Drosophila melanogaster: one gene and its partner. The protein of the gene in region 2 purifies or fractionates together with the protein of the main gene of each other region. This does not show direct contact. Each region holds a gene or a part of one and is shown on either strand. Other genes may lie near its edges.

Region 1 (16,733 bases), 1.6 Mb from region 2:
CTGCCTCGTGGTCGTCGTCCTCGAGTGGCGGACAGCACGATGGTGAACTGCATGAGGCTCCAGGACCATATGCCCAGTGTAAGGAAGACCAGGAATCCAATCTTTGCTATCGAGTCATCCTTGTAGGAATCGAAAAATTCAATAATATCCGCCGCCGTGCCAATGTAGACCAGGAGCAACTGGCTGAGCTGATCCCTGGTTAGATCGCCCTTGGGCAGCAGCCAGCGACCAACGATCAGGATGAGCATGAGGAACTGCTCGATGAGGGTTGTCCAAGTGTCCGGGGTCACCGAGAGGGTGACCCCGGCCTGACCCAGCAGAGTGGCCACCGGTGGCACGCCACTGCTGTTGGTGCTGGTGATGAAGATGGTGGTGTTGCCCACGGGAATGCTGTAGTTGCTCGGACTGTAGACCGTCGAGTTGGTCGATGTCATGTTGCCCACCCGACGTGCTACCTTGTCCAGCTCCAGCAGCCATATCGCCGGCACAATGCTGCTCAGGTAGAGGAAAACCGAGGGGCAGAACCTGCGGACAAAGGACACAAATGAGGTGGCACAGCCGAACGGCCAAAACAAACAACAAGTCTGAGTGATGCGACGAAAGGTAAACAAGAGTCAAAAAGACTCCATCCCCCACGAAATTCCATTAAAGTTTTTACTAGTACAAAGTGTGAGGTGGACAGCTTACACTTGAAAAAAAGTACACCCCGAAATGATAATACAAATTGGCTTTAAGATACAAAATTCATAGGATTTCCTATTTCTAGATTCAATTCATATGCATATTTTTATCCAAAAATCCTATGTAAACTACATTGTGTTGTTTGGAAATCGTGGCTACTTTTTTTTTGAGTGTGGGGGTGCGGCCGCAGTGTTGGTGGTTTCTATGAAAGTGGGTGGCCAGGTTAGGCACACATTAAACACATGATTTCACTTTTAATTGAAAATCAAAACCCCGCGGCATGACGTCAGCATCGACTGACTGTTGTTTACATTTCGAGTTGGGAGTTTTAATCAGATGCCTGGGGTAGCCAGGATCCGTGGGTTTCATCCTTACCAGCGCCACTCCTGCGTCTTCTTGATCATGATGGTGAAGATGCCCTCGAGCAGCAGCAACAGCAGTGGTCCACATAGTGCCCAGTATATGATATCACTCTTTAAAGCCACCACCTGCCAAATGGCCAGCAGGCTGTGCGCACTGAAGATGATCCTCGTGAGGATGGCCTTGATCGTCGAGATTATCTTGGCCATGGCTGCAATGACATAATCCTCTCGTGCTCGCTTCCTGCAGCTCGGATAATCAGGACCGAGGAATACCACCAAATCGACCCGAACCGACGAAGCGAACCGCACACGGCGAAAAGGTAAACGCAACTGACAGCAGAAATCGCGGGGTCCCAAATGCTTTCATTAGATGTTTAAACGCTTTTTAAGAAATTAAGGACACAGCCGCGAATGGCGCGTAATTGGTGAATGGCCACGGACCCCCGTCCCGATGTCCTGTGTGTGCGTTCAGGACGAATCATCTTCGGCTTGTCCAGGGACGAACTGCAGACCGAAAAGTAAAGATTCTTCATAGTAAGGAGAGAGTAAAAAATATGGATCTTAAATAAATTCTAGCTAATAATAACTTTCTTAATATATTTTAAAACCTTTTTTTTCCATTTTAATATATGGGAAATTAAGTTTCATTTACTTTCTATACTCTGATGTGACCAAGACGCTCCTGGAAATGTCTTCCCAACCGAAATCGAACCCATGCGTGTTTCACTTATGTGTGCCTCCAAGTCACACCACGACCATTAAATGCTTCAGCTGACTTTTAAGACGGCAAACGGTGGACGATAAACGCGGAGTCCGCGTTCCACCCACCGGATTTTGGGTCTGGCCACAAATGCAGTGCAAACAAATCGTCGGAGTGAACGACGCCGAGCCTTGGCCATCAAACTGCTGGGTAATGTGGCTGCATGGAAAGTTATAGTCATCGTAAACCTACCCCGTCGAGATATATCCGATGTTTGCCCATTGGTTGGGGGGCGGAGTTGGGTCAATGTTTTTGCCGCACGTGAAGTCATTGAACAGGCATAAATAAAGGATGATGTGCGTTGTGTGACTGGGCACAGCCATGCTAGAAGGGGCAACCTGTTGATGGGAACAAAGAAAATTTCAAATAAGGTAAGTAATTTGGCATATATTACGCATACGACATGTGCAACAACCATTGGGGAATCCTTCGCTTTTCACACGTTCTAGTACTGACCTTTCTATTATCCTTATGGTTTTAAATACTCAGATGTTTTTTTTTTTTGGAAAATTGCTTTTATTGCATGTATGGATATGACTTGATGTGGATTTTGGAACCTAGCCCTGATTGCGGCGTCGCAGCAGCCTATTGAGGCTGCGCACACTGACCCGCCTTCCGGAGCGATTCCTGGTCCTGTTCCTGGAAGTGGAACTGGCACTGGTGTCACGGTAGACGCGCACCCTGCGCTTAATCGAGTACTTGAGGTTCTTGATCCTGAACCGCTTGCGATGGACCTTCGAGGAGGAGGAGGAGGAGGAGGAGGACGCGGTGGTGGTGGTCGTGGTGGCTGCTGTCGTCGTGGTGGTGGTGTCACTGTCCGTCGTGGTCGTCGTAGTCTCCGTGGTGGTTGGCGATGAGGCGTTGGTTGCCCAAATGCATAGGCTTATCGCTAGGATTCGGAGTGCCAGTTGTCCTGTCTTCATGGTGTGCTCGGTGATGCCGTTGCTCGGATGAACTACCACTTCGGAGGCTGGGAGTTTTATATGTGACCAAGACAATTGGCGGAATTTCTCAGCAAATATTTGCATTTTGCTCTCGCCAATTACGTCCGCGCGAAATTTTTTGGCCATATTTACACAGTTTGGTGATCAAACAAAGGAACAAGCTGGAATTTCGCAAAACGGCCCAACTGCCGAGCTAGCTATTAAGTTTTATATATATTTAAGATTGGTATTTTTACGAGCTTCGTTCTAAAATTAATCACACAATTACACAGAGAGAAAACGAATTGAGCAAAATATTATTCACAAATAAGGTTCGTTTTAATGGAAGGTCAGCAATTTTGTCTGCAATCGTATATTATTTAAATCCAATAAATAAGTTGGTTTAAAGAAGTGCCTAAATTGGGTATCCTCCTTTTTTTTGAGTGCCACATGGAGTCGCCAGTGAGCTGCCTTCCCGTACAAATATCGCTGGACTTGAATGGGATTTGGTGCCTGCATGTTGGCACATAAAACACTGCATAACCAAATATTTGCGTGGCTCCAACTCGACTCCGTATTTGCCTGGGCTAAAGGACCGCCGCTGCCTGCGGATGACATGTATTGGTCCTGCGGATGACACCGATACTGACGCTCTTGGGTTGCGTGGTCGGGCGGTCTCCCGCAGTGGGTTATCCAGTCCAGGTTGCTATATAAGTCGAGGATGCGCCAACCGACGTTCATTCGCAAGTCTCCTGCTGCAGGTGTTCCGTGCTCAGTTCCTGCTCCTGGCCATCCTTCCAGCTCCTCGGACTAATGGCTCGCTACACGTACCTTGTCGCCCTTGTGCTTCTGGCCATTTGCTGCCAGTGGGGATACTGCGGCGCCATGGCCATGCCGGATGAGGAGCGCTATGTGCGCAAGGAGTACAATCGGGATCTCCTCGACTGGTTCAACAACGTGGGCGTGGGACAGTTCAGTCCCGGCCAAGTGGCCACTCTCTGTCGCTATCCGCTGATCCTCGAGAACTCCTTGGGCCCATCCGTGCCCATCAGGAAGCGCAACTCGGAGCTAATCAACTCCTTGTTGAGTCTGCCCAAGAACATGAACGATGCGGGCAAGTAAGAACGGAAAATGCTGAAGGATTAGGACGACCCACCACTGAAAGATGGAACCTGGACAAGAATTTATTATTTGATGTTATAGTATGATTTTTTGGTGCGTCGAAGGAAAATGAAAATCCGCAGATAAAAGCCGGTGTAGTCATCTAATAGAGAGAAAAGACCGTATAACTTTTGTTGCTTTAAACCTAAATAGAAAAATATACAAGTAGCCTATTGTAGAAATGTTGTATATTATTAGGCTTACTGCTGAAATAAACGTTTTCTGGATTGTTTCGACTTGAAATCTGGTACAACAACTAGTCAGGATTTTTATTCTTAATCACAGATACTAAAGCTAGTTAAAGATATTGGTTATCCCCGTAAAGGGCGAACCAATGAAAGCCAAAGGTGTTCTCAAAGTAGATTTTGTTCAATGCTACGATTGGAATAAATAGATGTTTCTAGCTTAGAATAGCAGCCCCATTTCGTTTATTGACTTCATTTATTATGCTATATCTAAGCAGTCAAAACCTAAGGAACTTGGCCATGAACTTGGCAAACAAATGCGTAGAAAGTAAACTAAATGAGAACTAAAGTATGTTCATAAAAAACACACTTATAAACAGAAAGACAAAAAGATCTGTATGTAGAAGTATAAATTGTTGTGCCCATTATTAGAAATGTGTTTTCTTTAGGTATTTTTTATTCGCCATTGTTTGGTAAGCTAAAGATCTTATTAACCAGATTTCTTGTTAACATGGATCCTGCGCACTGTCTTATAGTGGAGATTACGGATCGTAAAATGTTTCCTATGAACGGTTGTGGCCTTGGCAGTGGTGGTTGTGGTTGCCTCCGTGGTTGTGGTGTTGGTGGATGTGGTGGAATTGGTCTGGGCTGAGGAAGGCTGCAGCAGGCAGAATCCGGCGAATAGGACGAGCGCCAATAGATAAGTGCTTAGCTTCATTGTGCGGCTTTGCAAGAATCGTGAATGTATAAGACGAGGCTTTAGAGGCCTTTATATATACGAAAGTTTTCTACGCCAGACAATAACAAATATCCGCAGATGATAAGTAAATAGCGAAATACAATTGAAAATCAGCAAAAACAAATTTTGCACGCCACATTTTGCTTAACTTGTTTGCTTCCAATTCGATGTTTACCCGCCGCAGGAAAACAGTTGTAGGCGCGTTTAAATGACGGCAATATATATATTTTTCTTATAAGATATATAACTATGTTAATCAATGTTGCTGATTTATATTAAATATCGAACGATTCTCGATTCGATTTATGTGTAAGTTCATTTGGCGCTGTTTGAAATCGGTAAGTATTGTATAGAAAAAGTTATGCGTATGCATTATGTCTGATTAAGCTTGAACTATGTGTGTGTGTATTTATGCAAATGTTAATGCCATATTGAAATTACAACATTAGACAATCGAATTGTTGGCAACTACTACAAACATGATGTATACAATTCTATTCATTTTCAAATTACAAAACAATCAATTCTCGCTGGCCTTTCGGTCCGATTAATAAAACAATTGTAACATATGCGAATGTGTGTATATGTTGATGCTTCTTGCTTCGGCTCAAAATGCAGTTTCGGTAGCTTTTCACTTACATGACTATGCCTGCTATTGCATAAATACTAACTAACTGGCCGTACACTGCCTTGGCTAATCATTAACGGCTAATCTAGCATACAGTATGTGGCTGCAGCGGAGGCACATCTACCAGCACACCCGTGACTAAGTCGCATGCCCCGAAAACGCTCTGGCCACTGCTTTTGCCAAGCTGAAAGGATGCGAAAGTAAATGTTAGTTAGTTCAGTTTGCAATTGAGTGCGGAATATCTGAGATACTCACACATATGGTTATAGGTTATAAAGCTTTAGCTGCTTCCACAGCTTTTTATTGATTTATATTTTTGGAAACGCACTCTGATGGCGCTGACTTTTGCTTGATAATTGCTGAAACGGACTCTTCTCCTTCACATGCCTGTTGATGCGACTGTAGCTGCTCGATCTCACATGAAAAACTCGTTGGCTGAATGGGAAAGCGGAAGTCACGTTCGCCCCGGACGATCGAATATTGTAATCTCTATGACGCGAAGTCCCCGATAAGTGGGATCGATCAGCTGCAGTCCCTTGGTGTTGTAAATGCGTTCATTTTGGGAAGCCACAAATTTGGATATCTTGCGAAGGGTCTGTGGGGGCGAAAGAGCATTAGTATGTGCAGGCAATAGAGCTGGAAGTGCCACTGCCTTATTTTAAACTCGTATAACAGATAGCACGATCACTAATTAGCAAGTAATACTACTACTTGATTTATCAAGTTCTCTGACCTTTATACCTTAAACAGATATGAAAACCTTGAGTACAAGGACATTAACGAGAATAACTTTGATAACTTATACGATCGCATATCGACATTTGTGAAATTGTTGACTCTAATCCCTATTAATAGTTCCCTAGTGGAACTAGACTCTATTGCATTGACCCACATGTGTGTAATCCAAACCCAAATGACGCACCTTTTCATAGTGCGTTTCGGAGCACATATAGATCAAGTAGGCCGTGATGCAGCCAATGCAGCCCTCGCAATAGGTGCCGCAGGATCCCTCCTCCGCCTCGGCGTAGAACTCGTTTAGCCTATTGATGGTGGCCTCGAAGACGTGTCTTTCAATCTGCACGAGAATCGATATGAGTTCGGATGATAATCCCACAGATAATATAGAGTATTATATAGTCACCATGCCCTCCAGCTCAGCGGGCAGCCGTGTATGGAACTTGACGGAGGTGCCCTCGCTGTAATCGCGCTGGATGAAGACCTTGCTGAAGACCACGCCCCCTCCGGTCGCCTGGAGCGCTGTGGGATTACCGCCCGCTGGAGTAGTGCCACCGCCTTGGGACATGTTGTCGCTGAAAAGGCGGATAATGGCATTAATGGCCTCGCTCTGCAGCGCCCGATGCATTTGGTTAAGGGCAATCATCTTGATGCTCAGAGTGGAGTGTCCAAATCCCAAATGGACAGCTGGCCTTGCTTTTTCCAGCACCGCCCGAAATGGGGGTGTTTTGCTGGTCTGGTCGGTGGGGCACGGCCTGCTTGGTTACCCACCTGTTTGTCTTGGCTTGAAGTAATCGCAGTTGGCCTGGAAAAGCTCACAGGAATGCCCTAATTGCCTCAAATTCCTTAAATTGGTCGAGAGATAAATGTTTGCAAACTCCAAGTGTTACCAGATGGCGAGTTGGCTTTTATACCAAAATAGTGTTACCCCATCCCTATCGTTCCATAAATATTCTAAAAATACTGCATGTACTAAAAAATACTATGGATGTGCAGTGTTGCCACTAAGGCAGAAAATTATTATATCTTTGGCGCCATAATTCAAATCGGATTTCTGGACACAATTTTAAGTTTGAAAGGATAATATTAAAAGTTCCCATTATATCCTTAAATCTTTATTTCTTCTTCCATAATTTTGTGCTCATATATCATTGTCCGTAACGTTTCCCATGCATTTGAAGAATATCAACTTCGAATTTAGAGCTTGCTTTTGGCCTGGACTGCGGTGGCCGCCACGAGAGCCGCTCCTCTTCCGGATCCGTCCTCCGAAACAACCAGCTCAAACTTGACGCCCGGCTTGAGGAGCTTCTTCATGTGGTACTGGAGCATGTCGTGGTACTTGGGATGGAAGCGATACACGCTACCGTCTATGCCGATGGCCACCTCGTTGATGTTCATCTTGTTGATAATGGTGACCAGGCCGCAGGCACATAGCTTGGCAGACCTGGAGGACACCGCCTCGCAGATGTATCGCAGGGCCTCTTTGTCGGGTTCCTGGCAGCCCAATATGCCCAATTCGCTAAGGACCTTATTGCAATTGCGATACTCGCCAGGTGCATCACTTTCAACATCGGAAATATAGGCGGTTTTGAAGCTCCATCGCTCCTGGATCTTCTCGGAAATGATGCCGTGGAACATAAAACCCTTGGCAATCATATCGGTGATGACCAAACGTACAAGTTCACCCATATACATGCCCGATATGCACTTTTCGAACGTCTGCTTGCCGGGATTGGGTGTTACCTTGTCGACTGCCTTGTCGTAGGAAGTTCGAACGAACTCCAGAACACCATTGTCCCCAAAGGCGCCCCACTCGCAGTTGATTATCATTGATGGCTTGGGACTGGTCTGGTATCCTTCGAAGCATTCGGCATTTACTGTTTTCTCCACATAGCACGCATTGGAGCCGGTTCCCACGATCAATCCAATCCGGCAGTTGGGATGATAGAAGGCGCAGGACATCAGAGTGCCCACCGTATCGTTGAGAATGGCGACGGTATTGATCTTTAGATCGCCCCTTCGATCGATTGCCTCCTGGAGAAGACTCACCTAGGAATGCATATTAAAAGAAATTCATTTGTTAAATATAAATGTTAATAGAACCACACGTAAATAGTTTGAACGCCATGAAACTCACCACATTCTTGCCCACCACGCCTTCGCAGCTGAATCCTTTGGTCCAGGCCACAAGGATACCCTTGGAGAGTCCCTGCTGCTGGAGCGGAAACGAGAAGGTGAAGCCCAGAGCCAGTGATTCATTCTCCAGGCCATGGGAGTGACAAAACTCCGACAGGCATTCGGCAAGGAAGTCGAAAAGCGCCTTTCCCGATCCGGACATCAGAGTTTGAGGAAAATTATAGCCCTTCGACATGGTTTCCACGTCCGAGTTGCTAATCAGGTTCACCAGAAGCACCCTGAAATTAGAGCCACCCAGATCCAGGGCCAAATACTTTCCCCGCTCCTTGCCAGTGGGCAGATCTTGCACATGGCTGACGAAGCACTTGATCACCGCTCGTGCATGCGTGTCCTTGGCCAGGCCCATCTTTATCTCCTTGGTCATGCGCTCCACCACCTCGGTCATCTTCTCCTGGTCGATCAGGAAGCCCTTGACCGCGGCTTCAATTTCCGTGTTCACCAGGCTCGGCATTTTCCTATTACAGCCTCCACAAACTGTTTTGTTATGAAACAAAATTTTAAATACAGGGCCGAATAGAGAATGAGTTAAAAGTCTAGTTGACTTTCTCATGAGGTAAATTTCAATTCTTGCTTTGGACGTTCTGGTTGAATAACATGGAAAATTTAACAACATGGAAAATTCAAACGTATATGTTGTCATTGTATTTAAGCAGACATAATAAAAATTTTATTTATGCATATCTAGTAGTCCATAGTAAACAATTTCGCGTCCGTTTTGTACTTGTTGGCATGTGCCATTCCCGCCATTATGGCCGCTCCCACTCCGCAGCTGTCCTGGGTGATGACAAACTCGAAGTTGTAATTGGGATCGGCTAGCAAACGGGTGTACTTATTAAGAACGGTGGAAAAGGTCGGATGAAGGCGGTAGATGCCGCCATCCACGGCGATCGAGATCTGTGGCAAGCGCATGCGGTCAATGAGGCAGGAAACTCCACTGGCCACCAGCATGGCAGCACGATTTGTGACCGTGTCGCAGATGTATTTCAAGGCAGCCAGATCCCGTTCCTTGCAGTGACGTATGCGAAACTTGTCCATCACCTCCTGTGCCTTCGTATAGACACCCGGCGGATCCGAGACGATTTCGATCAGCGACACCATGTCCAACTTCCACTGGATCCCTATGTAATCACGCCTGTCCTCGGCAAAGATGGCGCCCGATTTCATCAGGCGAAGCACTATAATGCGAACCAATTCTCCCATGCAAAGAGCTCCACTAAACTTCTCATAGATCCGAGTGCCCGGATTTATGGACTCGGTGTCCAGCTGGCGATCGTATTCGTTACGTATGAAATCCAACTGCCCAGTATCCCCGAAATGGGCCCAATCCGAGTTAATGATCATCAGCTTTCTGTACTCATCACCCTCGTACGTTTCGCACCTTTCGACCCTTTCCACATAACAGCTATTGGCAATACTGCCCATGATCAAGCCAATTCGGGTATCCGGTTGGGCCCAGCACAGAGCCAGCAGCGAACCGGCTCCGACATTGATGATACCCATGACATCGACGGAGATTTCGGGAAACTTGGCCAGAGCATCGCGCAGCAGTTGGACCACATCCTTGCCGATGGCGCCTTGGGCTCCAAACTCCTTGGTCCACGACACAAGGATACCCACATCCAAAGCCAACTTCTTTAGGGTAAAGGCAAAGGCTATGCCCAGCGGCAGATTGTCCTTGTCCACCTTTTTCTCCTTCACAAAATTTGCTATGCTGGTGGCCAGAAAGGTGAAGACCTCGGTTCCTCGACCCGCTGCCACAGTATGCGGCATAATCACGCACTTGGAACTGGTGTAGATATCTCTCTCGCTGCTGAACTTCACCAGCATTATCCTGCAGTTAGTGGGCATCATCTCCAGGGCCAAGAACTGACCACGCTCCCTGCCCGTTGGCAAATCCTGTACATAGCTCAAGTGGCACGGAACGGTCGAACGATCGTGATGATCGCGACTCAGACCCATCGTAATCTCACGATCCATTGCGTTTTTAATCTTCTCAAGATCGTCTATGCTCGGATTGAACAACTTGCAGACCTTGTAGACTTCCGGAAAGTCCTCCTCAGGATTAAAAGTGTTTGCCATTTCGATGTGTGTCTATTGATCTCAAATATAAGGTATGATTTATATTGCGGCTACCTAATATCAATTTCAGAATCGCTCCATTTAAAACTAATAATCTAAGAGTCTACTCTGTTTCATATCTCTGAAAGTTGAAGGATCCAAAATCCCATCACAGAATAGATTGTTTGAATCAACACTGGGTGCTTTATTTACAGGATAACGAGAAATGCGTCACAAAGAAATGCTTAAATCACTAGTTGAGTTGAGCTATCATGTGGATGTGGCGGTGAGCAGCTTTTGCCTTCGCAGGATGTGAATATACTTATCCTGTCAGCTGCTTGCTATGACACAATGAATTCCGCCTCAATGGCGCATCGCATGTAATGGCTAATAGTGAAAGTCGGGTTAAAACTCGCACTCTAACTTAAGACGAGGGTTAGGCTTAAAAGGAGAGTAGTTAGGGTTGCTAAGAAATACGCGTCACGTGAGAAACATATCCGGAAAATCGCTGTGCAGCAGGTCGAATGGATACCCATCCAGAGCGGAGAACGAACTAATACAGGCCGACGGCTGCTGATCGCTGGCAAAGTCGAAGGAATCCTTGGAACTCTGGTCCAGTAATCGCAGACTGAGCTCCACATCCGACTTCTCCAGACCCGACATGGGCAGATCACCTCGGCAACCGGGCAACAGGGATTCCCCGCTGCCAGTGAGTAGACTTCCATAGCCGGGACTTAGACAGGAGAGGGAATCCCCATCGGAGGTATCCAGAAGCAGAGAGTCCAGGGCGCTGATTCCGTTCAATCCCACCAGACTGTCCAGCTCCAGTCCCGGACTGCTACTGCTGCTGTGGCTGTTCGATGACGAGGAGAGCGATGCGTAGGCGGAGGAGGCAGGCGATCCAATCGAAGAGGTGGCGTAGCACGACTCACCGGAACTTATCGGTGGTATCTGGGGCACTATCTTGGCCTGCTTTTGGCTCTGTCTTTTGCTCGCGGCGGAACTCTTCTTACCACTGCCCTTTGTCTTGGCTGGCTTCTTGGCAACTGGAACGGGTAGCTCCACCTCGGCTTCCTCGTTCGCTTCCAAGTCCACTCTCGCCTCCCGATTGGCACTCTCCTCCAGACACTCCCCTATAAATTCGCTTTCATAGCTGGGATCTCGAATCGAGTCGGTCAGCATGGTGATGTACTTCATGGCCAGTCTCAGGGTGGTGATTTTGGTCAGCTTCTCGTTGGTATTGGCCGCATCCTCGCCCTTGATCGCTTCGGGAACACAATGCCTCAGTGTCTCAAAGGCCGTGTTGATCTCACGCATTCTGGTTCGCTCCCTGGCATTCGCTGTTTTCCGACGGTATTTACTCAGTGGCGGTGCTTTCGTCTTGGACTTGGTGGGTGCATTTTTCCTCGATTTACTAGCCGGCTCCGCTATGGGATCTAATTCTAGTTGAAAGTCAGCCAGGTTGGCTGACTCCCCATCCTCGTTGGAGCCCCTCTTTTGTCGCTTCTGTCGCAGGGAATACTTCTCGCCCCGAGCACTGGCCGTCTTCCTTTTGCGCGAATCCTTGGAGTCCGTCGCTCTGGCCATGTCATTCAGATCGGCGTAGTTGTGCAGTTCGTACGTATTGGACTTCATCTGAAAGTGGAGTGCAGAGGCAGACTTTAGTCGAGGGTCTTCTAGGTTATATATATTTCGAACCCATCCCATCCCATCCCGGGGCAATTAACAATTTTGTACTATTTTTCGAAAGACATCGGAGAGCATATGGGGCTTGTGCAATGAAGCGAATCGGTTATTTTCGGACCCACCCCGCCAAAAACTTCCGTAAACGGCTCTCGAATTGGCTTCAATGAACTGAAGTCGATTCTTGAGTAGTGCTTCCGTCATAAAACCCACTGAAGCCGAAAAACCGAGACGAAACGAAACGAAACGCATCAAACCAAAAAACTAATAAATACAATTTAGCAGCGGGGGCAAGAACAAATTGGTCTGCCAAATGAAATTTCTCATTGCTCATTGCGTTGCGTAATCTACAAAATTCCCAGTATCTTCTCGATCGGCCTCTGAGTCATATTTGCCAGCAAAAAACTCTATGAGCTGGCTTCTCAACTCCTAAAAATGGTTTATTCAAGTTGTTGAATTCTGGTAAGCCCATATTAGTTTTACGTATTTCACATCGTATGAGTAATGTAAACGCAAACAAGTGCATTTGTTTTAATGAGTAGGCTACAAATATTTAAAAAAATTGTCATTAATCTTGTTAAGAACTAAAAGTACTTATCCATAAATTTCAAAAGATTTCCTAAGCTGTTAAATAAGTTAGTTTTTGTTATAGCCTTTGAAAATACATACAAAATTCCAATAAAACTTTAATTAGCCTATATAAAACTTTTAACACGAAAGTTCATAAAAATATTTTAAGACCTCGTTAAATTGGCTGCTTTAAAAATATACAAACAAGTATACGGATGAGAAAGAAAAATAAATTATGTTTCGTAAATGCCGCATGAATGGAATTGTTCATAAACTAGCGACTAATTTAAATTTTATTTGCCTTGATGAACAGTTTTTTATTTCTGTAATTAAATGCTTTATCGCAACAGTTTTAGGAATTTTCATAACCAGTTTAATAATTTGCTTAAGAGTGGTCTATTTTAAGAGAACCTCAGATTTTAGGTGTTTTCCTATTTGTCACACAAGATTGTTTATGAAACATGAGTAGATTGTGTTCACTAGCCAGATAAAATTTCCCAGAAATGTTGATTGTTATAAAATATTTTTCGTGAAAGGAAAATGGTGAGTTTTAAATTCCCGTCATTGCCAAGGGCGCTGTCTACTTCATTTCAAATGGGGAAAGTTTTGTGCGGTAAATGAAATGTTTATTATTTTCTTTTGTGTGGTGCGGTAGGTCAGCTATATGAAATATTTTCCCCTCTATCGAGAGTTGAATGCGGGGCGGATACATTTTGCGGTGACTGTTCGGCGGTTGGAAATGCAACAAAGCAGCGCAAAACAAACAACAAAGGCAACGGTTAATGAATGCATTTTAATGCAAGAATTAAGTTACATGAAAATGTAACATGAAGCCAACGCAACGCAATGCAACGCCGTCATTTCCACCTCCCAAACAGTTGCAGATACACATGGTCTGTGCGAATGTGTATGGAGATAGAAATGTTTCTGCATCGATGCTAACGCCCTTGCACGTAACGTGCCTTGGCCTCATAAATCGCCAGTTTGCCATTTTGCCAGCTAGCCAGCTAGTCAGCTAACCAGCCTTCCAACCTTCCAGTTTGCCAGTCTGAATGCAGAGGTGTAAATGCAGCCAGATTGATTGCAGTCAGTTGATCTAAGGGGAGCAGCTAACGTCGAGTTAGTCGGTTTAGCCGGGCCCACTTAAATGGACAATTTAGTGCAGATTGTCCAAAATTGGCACTAGACGATTCTGGCCACCTTGCCCGATTCAATCCGGCTCGCATTGGCTTGGATTGCCAGCATGTTGGCTCGTTGTTGGCCTGCTTGACACTTGTTGCATAGCTTTGACCATTCCCAGAGCTCGCTCTTGGCTTGGCCTAAACGAGTTATGAGGTGTTTCTCCTTAAGTGAGCACTTTTCTTCGATTACCGTTAATGTTTGTTTGTCTGGCAGCAATAAAAAAAAAAAAAAAAAAAACCAGAGAGAATGCATGCCAAGAGATTCAGCACAGCTCATCTTGAAATCCCAGCAAATCTCCATTCAAATCACCTTTCCCTGCCTCAACTTTCAACACGTGGCTAGGTTCTTCACTTCGTGCCGGCATTTTCTTTTGGCGTTTCGCCCCTGTTTCGAGGTATAATTAATTTTTACCACGCAATCCTAAGAAATGCTTAAAGACCCAGCAGAAAGAAGTTTTTAAGTTGGAAAAGATCCGCATGGATTGCATGCCCTTTCAAAAAGTTTTAAATGCTTTTAGAATATGCTTAGTATCTATCCTCTACTCTACATATCTATATACATATAAATTTCGTTAATACATTATTTTTAAAGCATGGTACGAAACGAATGTCATTCTTTAAAAGACCCGCCCCCAAGTCAGTGGAACCCACTTGAGTTGTAAGGGCATCGTGAAAAGTTTGCGACATGCAACAAACAAGCTGCAATTAAGCGCGCAACACAGAAAAATTTGTGCACCGTCTTCAAAGAGGGGCGGCAAACGTTGTTCACCTGCTCACTCCCCTCGCTCCCCTCCGCCCAATTTTCCCATTTTCCCGCCCTCCGGTCCAAAACGACGTGAAAATTACCTAGTTCCGTGTGCTTAAAGTGGGCCTTTTCGCTGGGTGGGTGGAAAAGCGTGGAAAGTGCAACGACTGTCCGCAATCAACAAATTGCATGCGATTAAAAGTATTCGCGGCTAATAAACGTTTGTTGAACAAACAGCAACAAGCGGCCTCCTGATTTTCGGAGTCGCAACCGGAGGGATACAGGATATGCTGCAAGGAAGTGGAGCAGGAAGTTAGCGGGGCGCAGTTTATAGTGCATAGGGCCTGTTTCGTTCTCTGTTGATTGGAAAATTTGTTGCGCGCTTTTCGTGGACAAAGTGAGCGGTGGGGGGGGGGGAAGGAGGGCGGGGTGGTGCCTCTGCTTAAGTTTTCAATTACACGCCGGCACAATGCAGAAAGCGCCCAATTGAAATGCACAGACAACAAACATAGAACAGTTCCTCTTACACAAAAGCCCAACATTTCATTTTGACACTGAGAAAAATCGGAGGAATGTGAAAGAAATACGTTCAATCAAATACAATAAAGCTGTTATGTTTGATTACTGCTTATAACATTTCAGCTTATCAAACTAAGTTGTGTTTTTGTTATATGATATATTTATAAGATCTCATATTCAAATAAAATGTTGAGCTTTTTGACAACAAAAAATTCTTAAAGTTTTTTTCCTTACAATTATTTGCAGTTGAAGAATTTTGTTTCAGTGCACCCCTTTTCCTGATCCCATTCTCTTTTACCAACAGTTTGGTAGACAAAAGGCGAGCCGTGCGTGCGACGAGGCGTGAAGGGGTCGAGGGGCGGGGCAGGGGCGTGTGGGTGGGTCGGCCCGTTCCACAGATATATAAAATACTTTTTTTTTTTTGGGGAAAATCAGATGGAATGGGAATGGGGACGGGGAAGTTAGCCAGGCCTAGCCGAAGTGCACTTGAAACTACCGGCGAGTGGCTCCTCCTCCCTCTGCAGTCTGCCCTTCACTTTTGGTTCGGTTGCAGTCGCTGCATTTTTAGGTGTAGCCATTAAATTTAGAACTTTTTCTGCACGCTTGTCTGCGCGCCCATGGGTTTTCCGGGGGGAAAATCGGGGCAGGAGGAATTGTTGAATTCAAGGATTTCGGCAGTCGGGTGCGGTTAAATGGAAAATGAAGCGTCTGCTGCTTGGGCACGGAAAAAAAAGCAACTGAACCACATGAGGCATTGCTATAACGAGGGTAGATGACTTAGTTTGAACAATGTTTTCTCTTGACAAGATAAAGTTAGCATGGTAAACGGATCTAAACTTTGATTTATAAATATTAGTAATCCTTCAATTGAAAAAGTAACTAAAGTAGTAAAATCATCATCAAGAACTAAACTTTCAACTTTAATTATTGCTTTTGAATGAAATCCAAAGTTGCTTTGTCTTTCGTAACTTCAAGAGCTGCCCTCTGGACCGATTCGCTATGGAATCTCCGACTGATTCAGATTGTCTCTGTGCCTGCCGTGTTTTTGATTCGTTTTGTTGTTGTTGTCTTTTCCACAGCTCTAAAATTAGTTTTCATTGTATGCAACTTGAATTTTCTTCCTTCACTATTTTCGTTTTCTTATTTTCGTAGCGCTCTATCTATTTTTTATCTGCCTCGATTTGTGATTCTTAATTTGCTTTTTGTGGAAAGCGTCAAAATCTTTCATTCGGCTTCGACTTTGTTGCCGATACTATATACATAGTCACCTATAGTCTATAACCTTTGTTGTTGCTCGCCTAGCTAGTTGCGCGTGTGTGTGTGTGTGTGGTTGCTGTTGTCTCGTGCTGTTGGCTGTTGCCAGTTGCACGTTGCACGTCCCCCTGATGCTAGTCTCGTGTGTGCTACCGTTGGCAGCTATTATTTTTAGCCGGCCTGCGGCAAGTTCTTATTTGTTATTTTACCCATCTCTTTTTTTGCCGTCTTTTGATTTTTTTACGCTTCTTTCCTTTTATTTCGTTTTGTTTTTTCTTCTGTTGATTTGTTGCCATTGCTTTGGCCAAATGATTTTGTTTGATTTTCCATTTACGTTGAGTTTGTTTATTAAA
Region 2 (16,872 bases):
TTGAGAGCGATGCGGTTGAGATCCTCCTGACACACCGGGCAGTTAAGGTTACGGCAGGTCTGAGCATAGCAGTGGGGCGTCTTCAGGGCCGACAGACCGGCCTGCACGGCTGCCGAGAAGACGGACGTGCTGGATAGCTGGAAGAGGCGGTAGTTCTCTTGACGGAAGTCCAACACCAACTTTTGCCACCGCTGCGGATCCATGTACTTGCGGTAGTGCTCGGCTTGGGCATCGGCCGGATAGGCCAGCAGGGCCATCACGTGGCAGATCTCATTCAGCTGAGTCTTCTCGTATGCGGGGAAGTAGCGACGCGAATGCTTCACAGCCTCAAAACGCTGATTTTGACGCACGAGCTCGATGAACTCTTGCACCCTCAGGCTGAATTCAATGGTCGAGTTGATCTTGCGGAGCTTAGACTTATTGTCTATGCACCAAAGCACGCATTTGGTGGTGCTGTGACTGGCCAAGTCATCCTCGACCTCGCGCGACGTCTGAAAAATGTCCAGGTTGGTCAGGTGGCGCACATCGGACTTGGCGGCCAGCTCCTCGGCCGTTTCATAGTATCCCATGCGCAGCAGGTGCTCGATGACCAGGCGGTCTAGTCGGATCCGCTTCCATTGGTCCACGGAACCCTGCCACAGGTCGCCTGTAACGCTGCTTGGCGGTGTAATGCCCTTTAGGTGGTCCAGCTTGCGCTTGCAGATCTGTGTGACGCTCAGCTCATCATTGATGCTCTCCTCGGCCTTGCGCTTGAGCACCTGCAATTTCTGCGCTACGTTATCCACCAGCTTGGTGACCTCGGCCAGAATGGGACCCTCCTCTGCTTCTAGGGCCTTTTCCACCTGACGCGATACATTGATCACCTGGTCCACCTCCCTGTCGATGATCTTCTGTGCCGAACGGAAGCGCTTGTTCAGCATCTCGTATGGCACTTTTAGGGTGGCGTGCTCCAACGCCTTGATCTCGGACATTTTTGCGTTTCGGTTGCGATGCAATTTGGTTTTATCCTCTTTTTAGAGACGCAATTGCGTTTTCTTTTCCTTCTTTGAATTGCTTTGTTTTGCTTCTGTGGGCTAAGAGTTGCCAGACTGTCAGCAGTCAGCTTAATGAGCAAAAGGTGCTGTTCAGTTAACTATTTTCTAACGCTAATTATATGATTACTAATAGATGTATATGAATATGATATATAAACAAAAGTGCGTATATTAAAATCTTATTGATGGTGTCCTTCTAGTGCCGGGATGCATAGCAACCGATTTCATAATGTTTTAGAAGTTCTATAATATTTAAATAAATTTAGCTATACTTCTGTGTGTTTTCCCGTTAAACTTCTAGGCAGCTCTAGCAAAGTGTACAGCGCTGTTGCCGCACTGTTAACTAATAACAGCTGATTGAAGCCCAGTAAACATAAACAAATGTTTTTCTAAACATTTTTCTAACGAATTAAAGATAATAAATATACATAATCTCCTTGGGATTACATAAAGACTAACTTGGCAAAGTAAGTAATTGAAACTATTACCTTACCTATATGGCAAATGAAAACTAATTTTAGATGGTTAAAGCAACTACCAGAGGTGCGACTTCCAAAGCAACGAAAGCTGGATCAAAGGGAGCAACGAAGGGAACCAAGGATAACTCCAAGCGATATCGTGACAAAATCAAAAAGGATCCGATTAAGTATCAGGAATACCGAGCCAGAGAAACCGAGCGAAGTAGGATTTATCGCAGCAAACTGAAGGAAGTGGTTAAAAAGAACAAAAAAGTTTTAAAAACAAAGCGAGAAACCGACCGACTTAGACAGCAAAGATATCGGGAGAAAAAGAAGGAGGAGCTCGCCAATCAACGATCATTGGAGGAAATGCTGAAGAAGCTGGAAAAGTCACTCCCAGCCAAGATGTCCCGAAAGATTGAAGTGATCAAGCTATTGTATAGCAAATACGTTGAGCCTGAAGTCAAGGAATCCTAAATTCCTTTGATTGTGGTAAATTCTGAAATCTGGAAGAGCTGTCTTTAGACAAATATAAATATCTACAAGATTAGGTTAAGTATACATTTTTTTAATTATTAAATGGTATTGCCACATATCTAAAGGGATTGTTTAATGTCCCAATGCAAAAAGTACTTTTTGAATAAATCTGAATAATAAAAAGTATTTTAAAGCAAATAATTTGTAAAGATACTATAGTTCAATTCACGAGGCAGTTACTTTTATGGTATGATATTAATAATTCATTTCGTTTCATTTCATGAAAAAGTGATCTGCAAAATTCTCACAACTCTTTATGGATGATTCATTTTGACCATACACTAGCCGGCTCACTCTAATTTCTTGCAATTAGCATTACGACTAGTTGGAGTTCGAGAGTTGACCTAATGTGCTCCGCCATGTAATTAATACGTCTGCTGGAGGGAAAAGTAATCACGAGTCCATGCAAAATTGCATAGAATTAACCTCCTTTTATGGTACATTGACTTTCGTTCACGTTCAAGTGGGCCCCGATAATTAGTCATAGATTAGGTGTAGCCGCCCAGGTGTACGTGCGAAAATTGAAAATCCATGAAAACCTGACCCATGTCCGCAGGCCAAATGCTGGGACTTTGGTAAGTAATTTTTCATTCCCGGGAACGGAAGTTACTCATTTCGGGTAAATTTGGGACACGTGCCGTGCAAAAACGCGAAAACAAACAAATAAACAAACATTTTGTTGGAACATATGTCCAGGATGTGAGGTGTAACTAGTTGGATTACAATAGTTCGACATGAAAGTGTTGGATTTTGTCAGCATTTGAAATTGAGAAAATTAACGTCCAAATACTTTGAAATATATGTTTATTACATTTGATTTAACTAACATATTTATTGTGAAGGATCTTTTTGGACTATACATTTCTACCTGGCTGCAGGAACCTTATCAAGATCATCCTAAGACTTCCCTTTCCCAAACGGAGCATAACCAATATTTAAAACCCATTGCATCCGTCCTTCACAAGCAGTGATTATTCCCAAAAGGTCAGGCGCTTACATCGAGATTTCCCTAATGACAAACAATTGAAAATTGCATGTCTGAGAAGTCCTGGGTTCCTGGGTTCTGAAAAATTGCATTTTAATAATACAACCGGCGGGAAGGCGATTAAATTCAGGCACTTCTTCAATTTGAATTCCAATTACAGAACGTCACTCAGGCCGACTGACTTATACACTACCTGATCCACTTGACAAGTTCACTGCTCCTGGGTGACACAAAAACTTATTAGAATAACTTAGTGAGCTGCATTTGCATTGCCATGGTTTTTGCAGGTGTCCAGTTGGTGTCGAGCAAGGACTCCATGCCCGTGGAGAACCCGCCTGGGGAAAGGGTGGGTCAGTTCGGATGGTGCTAGCTGCTAACCTAACCAATTGGAGCTCGGTGGTAAAGCCGAGAGAGAGCCGAGCCGTTTGGTGATGTCATGGATTGCGTGCAGCGGAGCCGTCATCAATGGTCCTTCTCTTCGGGACCTGCTACTTGGGCAATTTAGTTGTAGATGTTTTCGGCCCTTTTGGGCTACCATAAGAAATGGTCGTAACCCATAATCAGTGCGGCTTAATCGTGTTCCACCGCCGGGGCAGCCTACGGCACTCCATCCCAGAAGTGGAGGGCACCTCCTGCTCCTGCCCCTTTCCTTCGCTGCCGTTTCCTTCCTCACTGACCACATTGCTTCGCTGGCCTGCATTGATTTTTTTCGCGCAGAAGTAGGTACTCCATTCCGGCGTTTTTCGGGTTTTTATGGTCACCTCTAGAACTTTCACTTTTTGATGTGCGTAAATTTGCATATTTGTCGGACGCCAGGAAGGGTGTGTGCACTGACCACTCCACTTCATCTGACCCGATCCCTTTCCTCAGTTCTTTTGGGTGAGTAATGAATAGCGTCCGATGATGATGACGCCTTGGATAATGAGTTTTTGGCTTCGCCTTTAGATAGGTCACTGGAAACGTCATGTATTCATCGAAATTAAATGGGTAGACATTAAATTTACCAATTAATATTGTTGTGATCCTCCAATTGTATGGCCCTTTCGGTAGAGTTTCTGGTTAGGTTTCCCAGTTAATAGCCTCATAAAAGATATTTTACGATCCTTTAGTTCATATGCATTTAGAATGCTTTTGTCTGAAGCGGCGACCATTTTTGCAGTTATTGAATGAAATGCGGCTAAAAAATAATTGGATTGTGTTAGCGGTATGACTTTTTATTGTTTTTCTGATTGCCTTACGCTTATATAATTTTAACAATTTCTTATGTAGGCCAAACAGACCAACATTACTAGTTGAATATGGTATTAGAATGTATAAAATTCTATGACTTTAATGTAGATCGTGTACAACTGTTTACCATCCAAACGACACTAAATTCCTCGACATTTCTCAAAATGTTGCTATAATTATAATTCCTTTTGGGGATTAAGAACCTTATGACGTCCTAACCTGACCACGCATGAGTTATTAAAATAAGTTCGTGAGCACCAACATTTCGTAGGTATTTTTATGTTTTCACTAGCCTGGCGTCGCCTTTAGTCCTTTTAGCCAACATGACATGCGAATTGGCCAAGACGAAAGACCCCCAAAAGTGTCGCCCCATTGCTAAAATCAAGGTGTGCATTAACAAATGAACTTGAAATAATCGTTATACGACTGGCCACCCATATATTTAGCATGCATTTAGCTGCATTCAGCTAGCTGGCAATGTGGCAATGTGGCAATGTGTCGAGTGATAAATTGGGAAAGTCATGGAAAGGTTATTTGGTCAAGACTTGGCCAACAGACAAGGCTAAAACAAGTAACAGCGGCTATCGAAGAGCTCGCCTTGCGGCGCATGCAACATTCGGGGGCAGGAGCTGGCAGTCCTTTAAGGACTAAGCCATGTGGTGTGTGCATGTCCTGGAACGCACGAAAACAAACTTGCATGCAGTGAGTGAGGTAAGTGAGTGTGTGTGTGTAGCCGCAATTAGACGTGGCCATAATGTGGAATTAAGTCCCTTAAATTGGCATTTTTTCGAGGGCCTAATGCTCCGCACTCTGAGTTATAATCAGCAGTAATATGATGACCTCTGGGCATGAGTGTACAGCTCGATGAGATTTCGTGAGAAAATTATATATCGCTGGTAGAAATTCTACAGTCGCACTAATTAATCATCAGTTAAGAGCAAAAACATGACGCCCAAATTGTTGAAAGCGAATTAGTTCTTTAATTACGGTGGTCTTTCGCATTTTCCTTGGAGAGGGGAGGGGGAAAACCCACTGGCGGCGCCTACGATTCGCTGCAGTTTCTGATTTGGCGAAAAGATTTCGTGAGTTTTCCATATAATTTTCCTGCTTGTTTTCCGTTTCTCTGCTGTGCCCGGCAACATTTATCAATAATGTCAAGAAATAAATATCCGAAATAAATTTCAGACTCTGCCGCATGGCGAATTGAATGGACTGGACTGGCTGAATAATAATTAAAGGAACTTATTTTTACATGTAAATATAAATATTTTCCATTCCGAATGACGCGGTGCGGCGGGATTTGCGTAAATGGAGAAAGTACTATGGAATAAATCATTGTCAAGTCGGCAAATCTAGAAAAACAATTACGAAATCCAATATAATTAGTGCCTTTTAACTTATTTAAATAATTTTAAGTACATCCAATTCTTTAAAATGACCCACGTGTCTTATAAATCTCTTCAATATCGCTCAAAATAATTTTTTTACCTTTTACAATTTTTGAAGAAAATCATAAAAATTTTCTAATATAAGTTAAGCAAACAGAGATATTAGGATATCTGAAATATATTTTCCAAAATTGGCTTAATGCTTTCCACGGTCCTTGAACCCGACCAGATTCGTGTCCCATTTAGTTATATCCACCGATTTTCGTGAATATATTTTCTGGACTTCCTTTCCGTTCGCTGTGCGTGTGCGATATAAATTCGCATTTAGTTGGAGAAAATTGTTTATGCTGTCGCAGCGATTAAAGCAATCGTTTATAAGGCGATCGAGAAGGCAGATAAGGAGCACCAGGACCCATATAGCCTGACATTTTCCACAATCGGAGTCGGAAGAGGGTCGAAAGTACATGAAGTGCAAAGGAATTTGTGTTTGGCAAATTGGGCGAGTTCTTCATGTCCCAACTGACCTCAAAGTGTTCCTCTTCGAATGGGTGGGTGTAAATTATTGGCTCAGTTTGAAAAGTGGAGCTTCGTATATTTAGACGATTGAAGCAGACATGGCCAAAAGTTGGGCATCCGTTTCTGCCTGTTCGATATCCGCCTAAATGGTGCCTTGCCAAATTGGGCTAAAGGGGCGTGGCCAGTCACCTTTCTTTTTTGGACAGCTTAGCTGCATTCTGCAGCTGAAAGTTAAAAAAGTTAAAAGTTGAAAGCAACAAGCAAGCCACTCTCATCTGGGCAATTTAGCAAATGTAATTAGGGCCATGCAGCGCCCAAAAGTAAAAAAAGGGGGAAAAAATAATCATAAACAACGGCAGGAGAAATTAGGGAGCGAGCAAAGAATAATGGCCAAAATAACTATTTGCCTTTGACTAACCAGTTTCTGTTGTTGTTTCGCCTGGTGCGTGCTAATGTTACACTTTATTGTTGTTGTGGCTGTTGCTCAACTCCGTGGGCCCCAAAAAGTAGGCTATGCAATGGTCGTATGCCTCTAATGCCTTCGTCATTATTATAGTTCCCACACACACACCCACTGCCACACACACACACCCAAGACGAGGACGAGGAGAAAAGGACGAGGTCGCCACCGCCAGCGGCTACAATAAAAACAGGTGCACGAAGGTGAGGCAGCTACAAAAATCCATCTTCGTTAACAAAACTCGCTCACGAAATACACAAAAGCAGCGAAACAGTTACAAGTGCGTCGCAGCTCACTTTCCATACACCATATAGCATATACCATATAGCATACGGCCCAAAACTAATCCCATACTGCCTGCGAAAGTTTCGAAATCTGCCCGGAGATTCCATGCTATCTAGCTTCTTGTCAGCGAAACATTGGTTAGGTGGAATACCCTTTGCCCACTTGGGGGATCTCTTAATTATGCATGCGGGTGTCTGTCCTTCTGGAATCCGATTTTATGGAATGTCCCGGAATGCGTGAATTCATTTCTACTCAGCCGCAATTGGTTGGACGTATGTATACTTGGTTGCCTACATCTAAAATTAATGTTTTATCATTTTGTGGGAAGCTCATTGCTGCCAATTTTTGTGTGCGTCAGCAGAATCGTTTCCCATAACGCATAAAAACCTGTATTGTTTAACTTGATATTCAGTTGTATATATTTTACCATATATATTATGAGTTATTTTTTTAAGAATGAAATATGAAGCTGTTGTTTTTAACAAACCAGAACTTCACTTCCAATTGTAGAGTATAGACTTCTGTTAAAATTACACATGTAACATAAGTACATAACTATATGGTATCTCAACTTCCAATTTACTAAAATAAATACAAGTATATTATGTATTGTTATTATACAAAGTATTAAAGAAGATTTGCTGAGTGGGAACTTAAGTATGATATAAGGGTATCTGGAAGACGACTATCATTCGCCGCCAATGTGGCAAAGGGGTTCTATGCCTGGCTGAGCAGGTGAGCGGACTGCGGGGGCGGTGGGTGGCTAGCTGGCGAGGAGCACTCAGATGGGTAGCAGATGGTGGCAGGTGGGAGGTGGAAGGTGGCGCCGGTGTGCGCGAGCGCCAAGTAGCCACCAGCAGCGACATCGCAGCAACTTAAGGTCCGTGTGCGCCGCGAATTCTTCACTTGCATTTCGAGCGCGCAGGCGACTGGTTGGAGCTACCCGTCCGAAGACCCCAAGTGGAAGTTGCGACTATAGCGAGTGCCCCAAAGTATTGGAGATTTTTTGGAGTGACGCCTCTCGTGCGGTTTTGTTTTGCTTCGGACTTTCTGGCGGAGCGGAAACGATTTCGGTGTGAAAATTTGCATAAAATTGTGCCCGCGAAACCGACATAGAAACGAAAAAAGCGTTAAGTAAACCAATTTAAAGCCTTTGGGCCGTTTTTCAAGCTCGCAAAGTGCGTGTGCAACCCGTTGCGGTCCTGTGGAATTTATATAAGACCCGAAAAAGGACTTCTTTCCGACTTCTTCAAGTCCTGGTCTCGACTCAAAACTCGATTAGTTACCGATTCCAAAATGCAGCCCCTGAAGCGCTTCACACAATGCGGCAGTCTGACCATGCTCTTCGGCATCTTCATCATCCTCTTCGGGGTCAGCTCCACGGCTCTGACCACTTTTGGCAAGACCAACAATCAGCCGCCTCCCACGCACGTCCCAATTGGTAAGAGAACCCCCGGGGTTGGTAACGAAAAGGCCCATCAAAGTCGCTGGCAAGGTCAAGAGGAGTTTCTTGTCAAGATTGGGCGAGGGATTAAAAGTGGTTCGAGTTTAAAAGTAATCGTGCAGTAATTTTGCTATAACTCGTACTCCAGCATTAGCCGATAAGTGAATATGACTACTATTACTATAACAATATTCATATAAGATTATTCTTTAAGAAAAATACCAAACAAAGAGATACATTAACTTCTGTTTTAAAAAACTGATTTTGAGTTAGAAGTTAACTATTTTAATGCACTTAACTTGACTCTCATTATAATGTGATATATACGTTGTCTTAGACCTTCCCGATAAAGCCCCACATCACTTAAGTTCGATTAACCGCTAATTAAGACACCTGGTCGTTAGCCAAACAAATAGCCAACCATCCAGTTTGTCTGATCCAATCATTTGTCATTCGATTGACTTGGTAGTCGCTCATAAATAAATGGAATAATAATTATGGCACAGAGCCAGCACAGATTGAACGACACGACACAGAACACAGAACATTGCTAACACAAATCGAATCGAGAATTGATCAAACAAGTCACTCAAGTGCAATGACAACCCACGCTCCACGAATCCCTGACATTAGGAGCGGGGGCGGTAATATCCCTGTGATTGGAGTTGGTAAACCGAAACGGATAGAGTAGATATAGATAGGCGGACAAGCGGTGATTTGTGTTGGCTCAAGTTGGTACCCAAATAATCACACAATTAGTGGGCAATTAGCTAGGCAAACTGGCTAGTTAAGTGTCCTTTTTTAACTTGGATTCCTATCATTAATTGCAGTTAAAGGACGAGAGTGCAGTGCCCACGATGATTGCACGGCGATAGATCGCACCAGCTGCGTCAAGGATCCCAATGACTACAAGCTGCGTTGCCTATGCGGCGACGACTCGCCTCCTTCGGCTGGCAGCTGTCCAGATGTCCTGAAAGGTAATGTATCACCTATATAGAAAAGTACTTACCCATATTCCCCAAGGATATAAATATACAAGTTGTAATCTAGAGAAACCACTGACACTTAAACAGCATTCCTAAAAATAAATTTTTCGCGGCTGATATGCTTTAGTTACTAGTCAGTTAGTTACTATTTATTTATGTTAAAAAAATTAAAAAATCATTGATGTTAAATATTAATCATAATGTTCTGTATCTCCGCTCCTTTGACCGCCCGCCTTTGCAGAATCCTTTAGCTCGTTTCCCGAAATAGAACAGCCAACAAAAAGTCAGCTAATTGCTAAGACATGCACATTACATTTATTATTTAAGAGGCCGCTGCTTTCTTGGAGGCCTCCTCCGTGATGAGCCAGTGCCTCAAGTGGCATGTGAGGTGATGCGTCCAAGGCGCCACCTAAATGAGAATTAAACAAAGAAGCATCCTTCCAGAATGGCCACCCCCAAAGCCCACTTTCACCTTTCTTCGCTATTTGCCTGCTTATTTATTTAGTTTTCCGTGCGCGATTCACACTTGCCTTCTCGGCATCCTTGGGTCATGTGCCCGCCATTGTTGGCCCTACAGTCCCTTGGTTCTTTGGTCCTTTGGTCTTGGGTCCTCTAGTTTCCCAGTTCTCCAGCCCTCCTCCAGCTCCACTCCAGTTCTTGGCGGGGCCAGAGGTGGACCGCTTTATGGCGGCGCAATGTCGATGTCGGATTTATGTTAGGATGTCGTGACTCCTCCGATGGGGCAACTCAAACGAGGCCCCAAACGAGAGGCAAATGGTAATGGGAATCGCCGCAGTGCCAATTTGTGACATGCACAGCCCAGAAGAAATGTTATACGCGATTTTTGCATGCACGTTTCCCCAGTTTTTGGCATTGGGAGTTGTTCTCCGTGTTGGAGATCTACTTTCTGGCGGGGATACATTGTAATACACCAGAGTATAGAATTTCCAGACTATTATAGGTCTGCATAATAGCGTTATTATAATAAAATGGCTGCTAAATGATACCGGTGTATTGAGTCGGTTTAAATTTAGTTATAAGCATGGAGTATAGCTAATTCCACTGGCGGTATGCTAATATCTTAATAATATTTGCGCATTTTGCAGGCCTGCGTCACAAGTGCAACAGCAACAACGACTGCGAGGATGGAATGGTGTGCCAGTACGAGAACAGCAACCGCACCATCGGAGTGGCCAAGTTCATGTCCAGCAAGACCAAGCTGTGTCTCTGCGACAACGACAACGGATATGTGGAGGACATCCTGCACGACATCTGCAGTGGAGGTGAGAGGTTTCTCATCCAATACATTCCATAACTATTATAACTATTGTCATAGTATTACAAATATAGTACACACAAAAATAGGATGTATCATGGTTCCTAATCCATCTTCTTTGCCTTTCAGCTAATCTTCAGGGCCTGGTCAGCTTCTTGGTCTCGATCTGCTCACTTCTGGCGCCCTTTTTGGTATCCGCCCACATGCGAAAGCATTTCTAGAAGGCGATCGTCGAAAGCGGAACCGGAAGACGTAGTTTGGCGTTTATCTACCCCAGTGATCCATCAAATGTGCCTCAGTGAAACCAACAGAAACAAAAGATCATCCTACCCCTACCACTAACCCCTCACATATAAAAAAATACGAAAAGTAAATCTTGAAAAGCGAAAAAAATAAGAGAAAATACGTGGAAATGAAATTAAGAAAGTTAGATACTCGTCGCCATTAGCCTAAAAGTCGTTCTATTGTATAAGTTTCATATGTACCACCGTCAAGTTTATTCGCTTCTCACGAAAAGTTGCGTTATATACAATATACATAATTATATTATCTGATAAACGTTTTCCATAGATCCCCAATCGAACTTAGTCCGTACTCCCTACACTAGACAGACCGAAGTAACTTTAGATCAAATGTTAGGCACCATTTTATTGTAATTTTATATGAGTGTACGTGTGTGTCCAGGAATAATCACTAAAAATCGAGAGAAATTATCTAGTGATAGGCAACTTTTCAGCAGCACTGTGAATTCAGATCGCTTACATCGCAATTACAAATGTGAAACATTTTTAATTTTTGTATGTATTCAATATAAATAGCTTTACGAGCTCACAGCCCATAATCGAATGGAATAATAATAATAATAATAATAATAAAATATGGGAGACGATAAAAGTTAATAATATTTTCATGTCCAAGTTGCAGGTCCAGATAAGAATTTCACCCATTAAAACCGTTTTCTTCGTAGCTGTTATCTATACTATTTAATAAAAACCTTTAAAAACCCAAACGAATAGTACTTTTCCATCAATAATGACAGAAATATATCTTGGTTACCACACGGTACTTTTCATTGGCAATCCAATAGGTCTGAAACATGTAGTTTCCTGTGGGAAAGGGCAGAGTTTTTGGTAGTCGGGAATTAATAGTCTCAGAGGTAAGTTTCTCCATTATAATGTCGTGCTAAAAAACGTGGGAATGATTAGTTGGAATAGGGAACACGATCTTTCTTACGTTGTACGGACAGGAATGATTCAAGTTGCTGATATTCCTTATAAAATCGTAAAAGTATTTGGCGACTACATTGGACTTTGTGTTCTTCATGAATTGGCAACCGTCAATAGTGATGTTGTATAGGAAGGGCTTATACCCATTGATCTGCTGGTGCAATCCAAAATTCACCTGAAATATAATAATTTTACTCAATAGATTGCTAAACAACTAAACTTGCTTAACTAACCTTTAGGCTGTTCAGTAATTTTAATACCTTAATCCGGGTGGAGAGGTATTGATAAGTTCGATTAACTGATTTTAGAAAACAGTATTCGATATCGGCCACGTCCTTAGCCATGGATGTGCACTTGAAGTTCGTGAACTCGATATGAGAATAAATCTGTGTTTTAGTGAAAGCTATTGTATATTGCCTATTAATTTGTTTATAACCTCTGACCTGGTTTATCATGATGAAATGCAATAGAAGCACGAAGCAAAAGTATTTTTCTAAGCACATTTCAATTCATTCGGATATCAAGTGAGACTGAAGCTACATTTTCATTATATCGGACTCATTGAAATCAGGAAAAAAATCTGAAATTAATATTTGGTAATGATTGCTTTTACCTTAATTTCTTTAATTGCTAGTTATATGCAGATAAGCCAGACGAAAATTGGATCCAGTGAACTGGAACGTACGCACTCCTAAGGCAAGGCATGTATTAGACAATAAACATACCCCTTATGATTATGAATAAGGAAATATTTACATAGTTGCAATATTTATGAAATCGATTTCAGGCCAGATAAGCTGTGATACTGACTTACTACGGATATGAAATCTACTCGTATTTTAAATTCCAAGGACAATTAGCTTCCCCCCCCAATAGAAATTCCCATTTCTAACTACACTTGCGTCTCCGTCCAAACGATCGGTTATCCAACCCAAATCGATTAAATGCACGGCATTGATTATAAATAGTTCGGTGTAGATTTAATGCAGCAGCACAGTTTTCAATATGTTAACAAGCTGGATATTTTGTAATGCCAACGCCTTTCGCTGGCCCCCATTCGCTGATTACTTTCAAATTTCTCGCGGAGAATCGGAGAATCGGGCAATCGGGGATTTGGTGAAAGAGCGCAGAGAAATGGGGGCTGTAGTGGAAGTGAAAAGCTCGGCGCGGGCACACAAAGCTCCACTCTCGGATCACAAAAACAAACAGCGCCACGCTCCCAAGCACAATTACACGATTGGTCTCCGAGAGGTGACAACTTCGAGGGCTTTTCGGCGATCCAGAGATCTGAACGGGCAGTTAGTTAGCCGTGTTTCCCTAACCGATTCGGCTGTGCCATCCGCAAGATCGCAATTTTCGTCGTGGAAACTTCAAGCCTCGAAACGAATTCGAAGTTCGCGTCTGTGCAAACAAATTATAAACGCACCATTTATGCTCGGACTTTATGGGTGCATTTCGGCAGTGATTTGCATGTGAATTCGGCATATGCCATAAAAAAAAGACTCCGAAAGTAGTGGCATATTCATATATGCAAACTTATAACTATTTAGAACCCACTGACAATGAAGAACTGAAGGAGGGACACAACTGAGTTTTTGAGGTGTGCGACGCGCGCCAAAGTCAAAGCCAACGAAATCACATTTCCGGTGGCCACACATCGTTTCAGCCAAATTCAATAGAGAATAGTGGAAAAAAACGCCAGCCAGTGGAATTTCAGGCGTAATTGGGCTATTTACGCCCCCCCTGCAAACCGTCGAAATAGGTAAGCCCATCGAAATATTTCCCCTCTGACATCAGAAAGTGACACTAAGTTATGGGTGGCCCTGACATATAGATCAAGGTATATATATAGTATTTGGTACTGAAAAGAGTGAGATTTCCCATTGCGAAAGTTTCGCATCGGATTTTGGCATTAGCACCTCTTTCAAACCAAATCCATTGACGCAGTCTAAACGGTCGATTAACATTTATCACTAAACGATTACTAATTTGTTTATGAGTCTCTCAAAACCAACGACACATGCTAATTGCCATTATGGGATCCCGAAAAGAGTTGCTAATTTTATGATATCCTCAATGAAGTGTCAATTAAATGAATCACTGAAAATATTTTCGTCATCTACGCATCTCGAAGTGCCTGAGTTATTAAATCAAAAGTAATAGTTCTGCTACCTAAATGGTGCATTCCAGAGGCTGCAACGTGGTAATTGCAAAAAGAACACGCGAGAATGGCAGTTAAAATTAATTTATAGATTACGTGACTTAAATGCGAAAACGTGCTCAAGCGGAACTTTGGTTAACTTGAAAAGTCTAAATACATTTTAATGTCAATTAACTATTTCGGCATTACAAAAAAGTGGCCTATTCACGATGTTGACTCCAAAAATCTCATATAATTGAATGCAATGATCCAGTATAAATACATTCAGAAATTATATTAAGGTATCTTCACACTTAAATTCCACGAATTGCTGCTCAAACTAGTTTATTTCGGTTTTAATTACCCATCACATGAGCTCGACTTGCATATCTTAAGCAAATATGCTATAGTAGATTAAGTGATGCTTAAATAAACAATATTTGGATGGATAGATAAGAGTTCGCTTCTGGTTTTCTTTGCTGCGTAATCGGTGGGGGAAACGCGTTTTGCATAAAAATTGCCAACTTATCAAATACTGCGCTCCATCAAATATGAACAATCGAGTCATAAATATTCAAAACAAACAAAAGCCGGTAGCTGTTCTCCCCCTAAAAATCCATTAAACCTGAAAACGAATGGTTAGTCTAACTTTGATCGTCGTCTAATATAGATTATGAAACTCGTTTTGTGGGAACATAAATTAAATTTGGCTTGCCCTGCGATTAATCATTCTTATAATCAAATAATAATCAACTAACAAGGAAATTGCATTGTGATTTTGGCACGTTGTTTCAATTACTTCTGCTGAATTTGTTTGCTTAAATTTTATAGAGTCGCGCAGGGCATCTTCATAAAAACAGAGTCTAAAGTCAACAAACTGCAAATTGAATTCTGGGTATATAAACAGCATATATTCGGACAGATTCAATTCGCGTGCCTTTGCGATTGACTTTAACAATTAAGTCTTCCACGAAAAAAGAAAAGAAGCTACAAAGAAAATATTGAATAACAAGTACAACCTATTTTTAGATTTTAAACAAAGAAAGGTCTCAAAAAGAATTAACATCTAACTACAAATTGGTGTACTTTAAATCACTCTGTTTGTCTTCGAACTTTAATTTTGTGTGTTAAGCATTAAGTAATCTGTCCTCTCACGTTCTCTATTTTAAAATAATATTTATAGCCATCTAATAAATTAGTCAGCTTAATAAGCCCTTATAGTTTTCTTTTGTAACTACAAGTCGTAAATCCTTTTAGTAATTCCCCAGCGAGATCGTAAGTTATCTAAGCCAAAGCCATTGGGTCTGCATGCGGGACAACGTGTTGTATACGTGATTTCCGTGCAACTATCTGCCAGCCTGCGAAATCCAAGTGTGTAAAGCCCCCTTATCCGCACTATATCGTGTTAAATACAGCTTTCGGATATATTTAAGCCACATATATAGACAAAAACAGCCCGAATCGAAATGGTAAACAAACCAAACGCATTTCATTGAAATGGGCGACAGTTTGTGGCTCGGATTCGATTCAATGTGATTGTGCTGCGATCGACCACGCCCCCCGCTGTTCGTTACGCCCTTTTGTGGGAATTTGGCTGTCATGCGAAATGTATTTCGCAATTGGCCCTGTAATTTCAGTTGAGCGAAAAAAAAAACAAGCCAGTGAAAAAAGGGAACAGCAAAAACGAATTCAACAAATGTAATTGAACAATTAATCGAACATTTGTACTTCCTGTTCGGTTGGGCTTATTAACTCAATTATGGAGTGACAAAAATAAATGTATAAAATCCGAAATCTAATGCGGCTTCAAAATTCCATAAAATATTTTGCCACATTTTCGAAACCCAAGGGTCACACACCTGCTGTCGTGCAAAGTTCGAGCTCGTGTCAATGGGGCAAAATGTGTGTAATACTTAAGTGCGAATATGCAAACTTGAATTAAATACACTTTGAGGAAGCTTCAATTTGATGGCATTTAGCACAAATTTTGCAATGCGTCAGCCTCAGTCTTCACACCCACATTTCGCTCACTTTCTAATTGTGCGCTTAAATAGTTAAAAATAAACCAAAACTCAAGCCCAAACCAAAACAAATAAGACAAAGGGAAACGCCCTCGGATGTAAAATACTTTCGGTGTGAGAAGCGCCAGCTTGTTTGACATCATCCAAAATTAGCAGACGACTTCGGCAGCTGGAGAATCCCCCCAAGATCACCGTCTGCCATCATCGTTGAGGTCCCCGTATAAAACCAGTTACCGGCATCTTGACGTGTACACTCATTAAAAATTATGCTATTTTGCCAGCTGACTGATACGCGTAGTATTCAAGTCATTTGACTGCGATTAGGAAACGAAATGCACAACGGAGAAGGCAGAACGAAAAATACCCAAACATTGAGTGGTTTCAAAACGTGGAAGGCAGTTAGAGCTCTTAAAGATCGACTACGGGAATACCTCATAGAAAGTTTGAGTACTTCGTTTTTAGGTAAATCACCCTTTCATTTTATAGTTATCTCTTGGTAACCGCAAACCTTAAGTATTTTTATATTTCATTATAACATATTATTAGATATAAGATGTCATATAAGCTTTTTAAATAGTTGGTATGAAATATAGCACCGTCGCTTGCTTTGCCAATTTTGATCTTGGCCGGGCTATAAAGACAGTGATATTTATGGGCTTTTAACACTAACAGCACGTTTCAATTAATTTAAATAATTCCATTTGTCACAGCATCAGCTGTCTAGGAAGTTTTTTGCGATATTCGCTTGAATTTCGATGTTCATCTTGAACTTCAACATAACTTCAATCAGCATAAATATAGAAAGTTTGCGATCGGCAACTAAGGTTACAATCAATGCATTTCAAAATAATTTGTTCAAAGCGTTAAGACACCATTGATTTCCATA

The links.
Region 1: the proteins of Esp (region 2) and CG5447 purify together in Drosophila melanogaster (affinity purification with mass spectrometry, with the first as the bait; one large-scale study listed by BioGRID). This does not show direct contact.

What each region holds. Positions count from the first base shown.
Region 1 is NT_033777.3:26,442,870-26,459,602, reverse strand, and holds CG5447 (uncharacterized protein), read right to left. Parts: upstream 7,070-16,733; 5' UTR 6,946-7,069; intron 6,750-6,945; 5' UTR 6,743-6,749; coding exon 6,581-6,742; intron 6,515-6,580; coding exon 6,362-6,514; intron 6,035-6,361; coding exon 5,894-6,034; coding exon of another isoform or gene 5,855-5,893; 3' UTR 5,695-5,854; intron 5,624-5,694; 3' UTR 5,018-5,623; downstream 1-5,017. Other genes in the region: CG14238 (uncharacterized protein), read right to left, coding at 1-525, 1,057-1,250; CG14237 (uncharacterized protein), read right to left, coding at 2,361-2,726; Pdf (Pigment-dispersing factor), read left to right, coding at 3,540-3,848; CG43117 (uncharacterized protein), read right to left, coding at 4,563-4,790; Hex-t2 (hexokinase testis 2), read right to left, coding at 7,372-8,223, 8,312-8,920; Hex-t1 (hexokinase testis 1), read right to left, coding at 9,052-10,449; tx (taxi), read right to left, coding at 10,909-12,063.
Region 2 is NT_033777.3:24,828,884-24,845,755, forward strand, and holds the start of Esp (epidermal stripes and patches), read left to right. Parts: upstream 1-13,051; 5' UTR 13,052-13,587; intron 13,588-16,872. Other genes in the region: Kaz (katazuke), read right to left, coding at 1-971; CG43273 (uncharacterized protein), read left to right, coding at 1,556-1,969; sosie, read left to right, coding at 8,190-8,334, 9,168-9,314, 10,430-10,606, 10,729-10,820; CG33658 (uncharacterized protein), read right to left, coding at 11,626-11,781, 11,833-12,000, 12,059-12,280.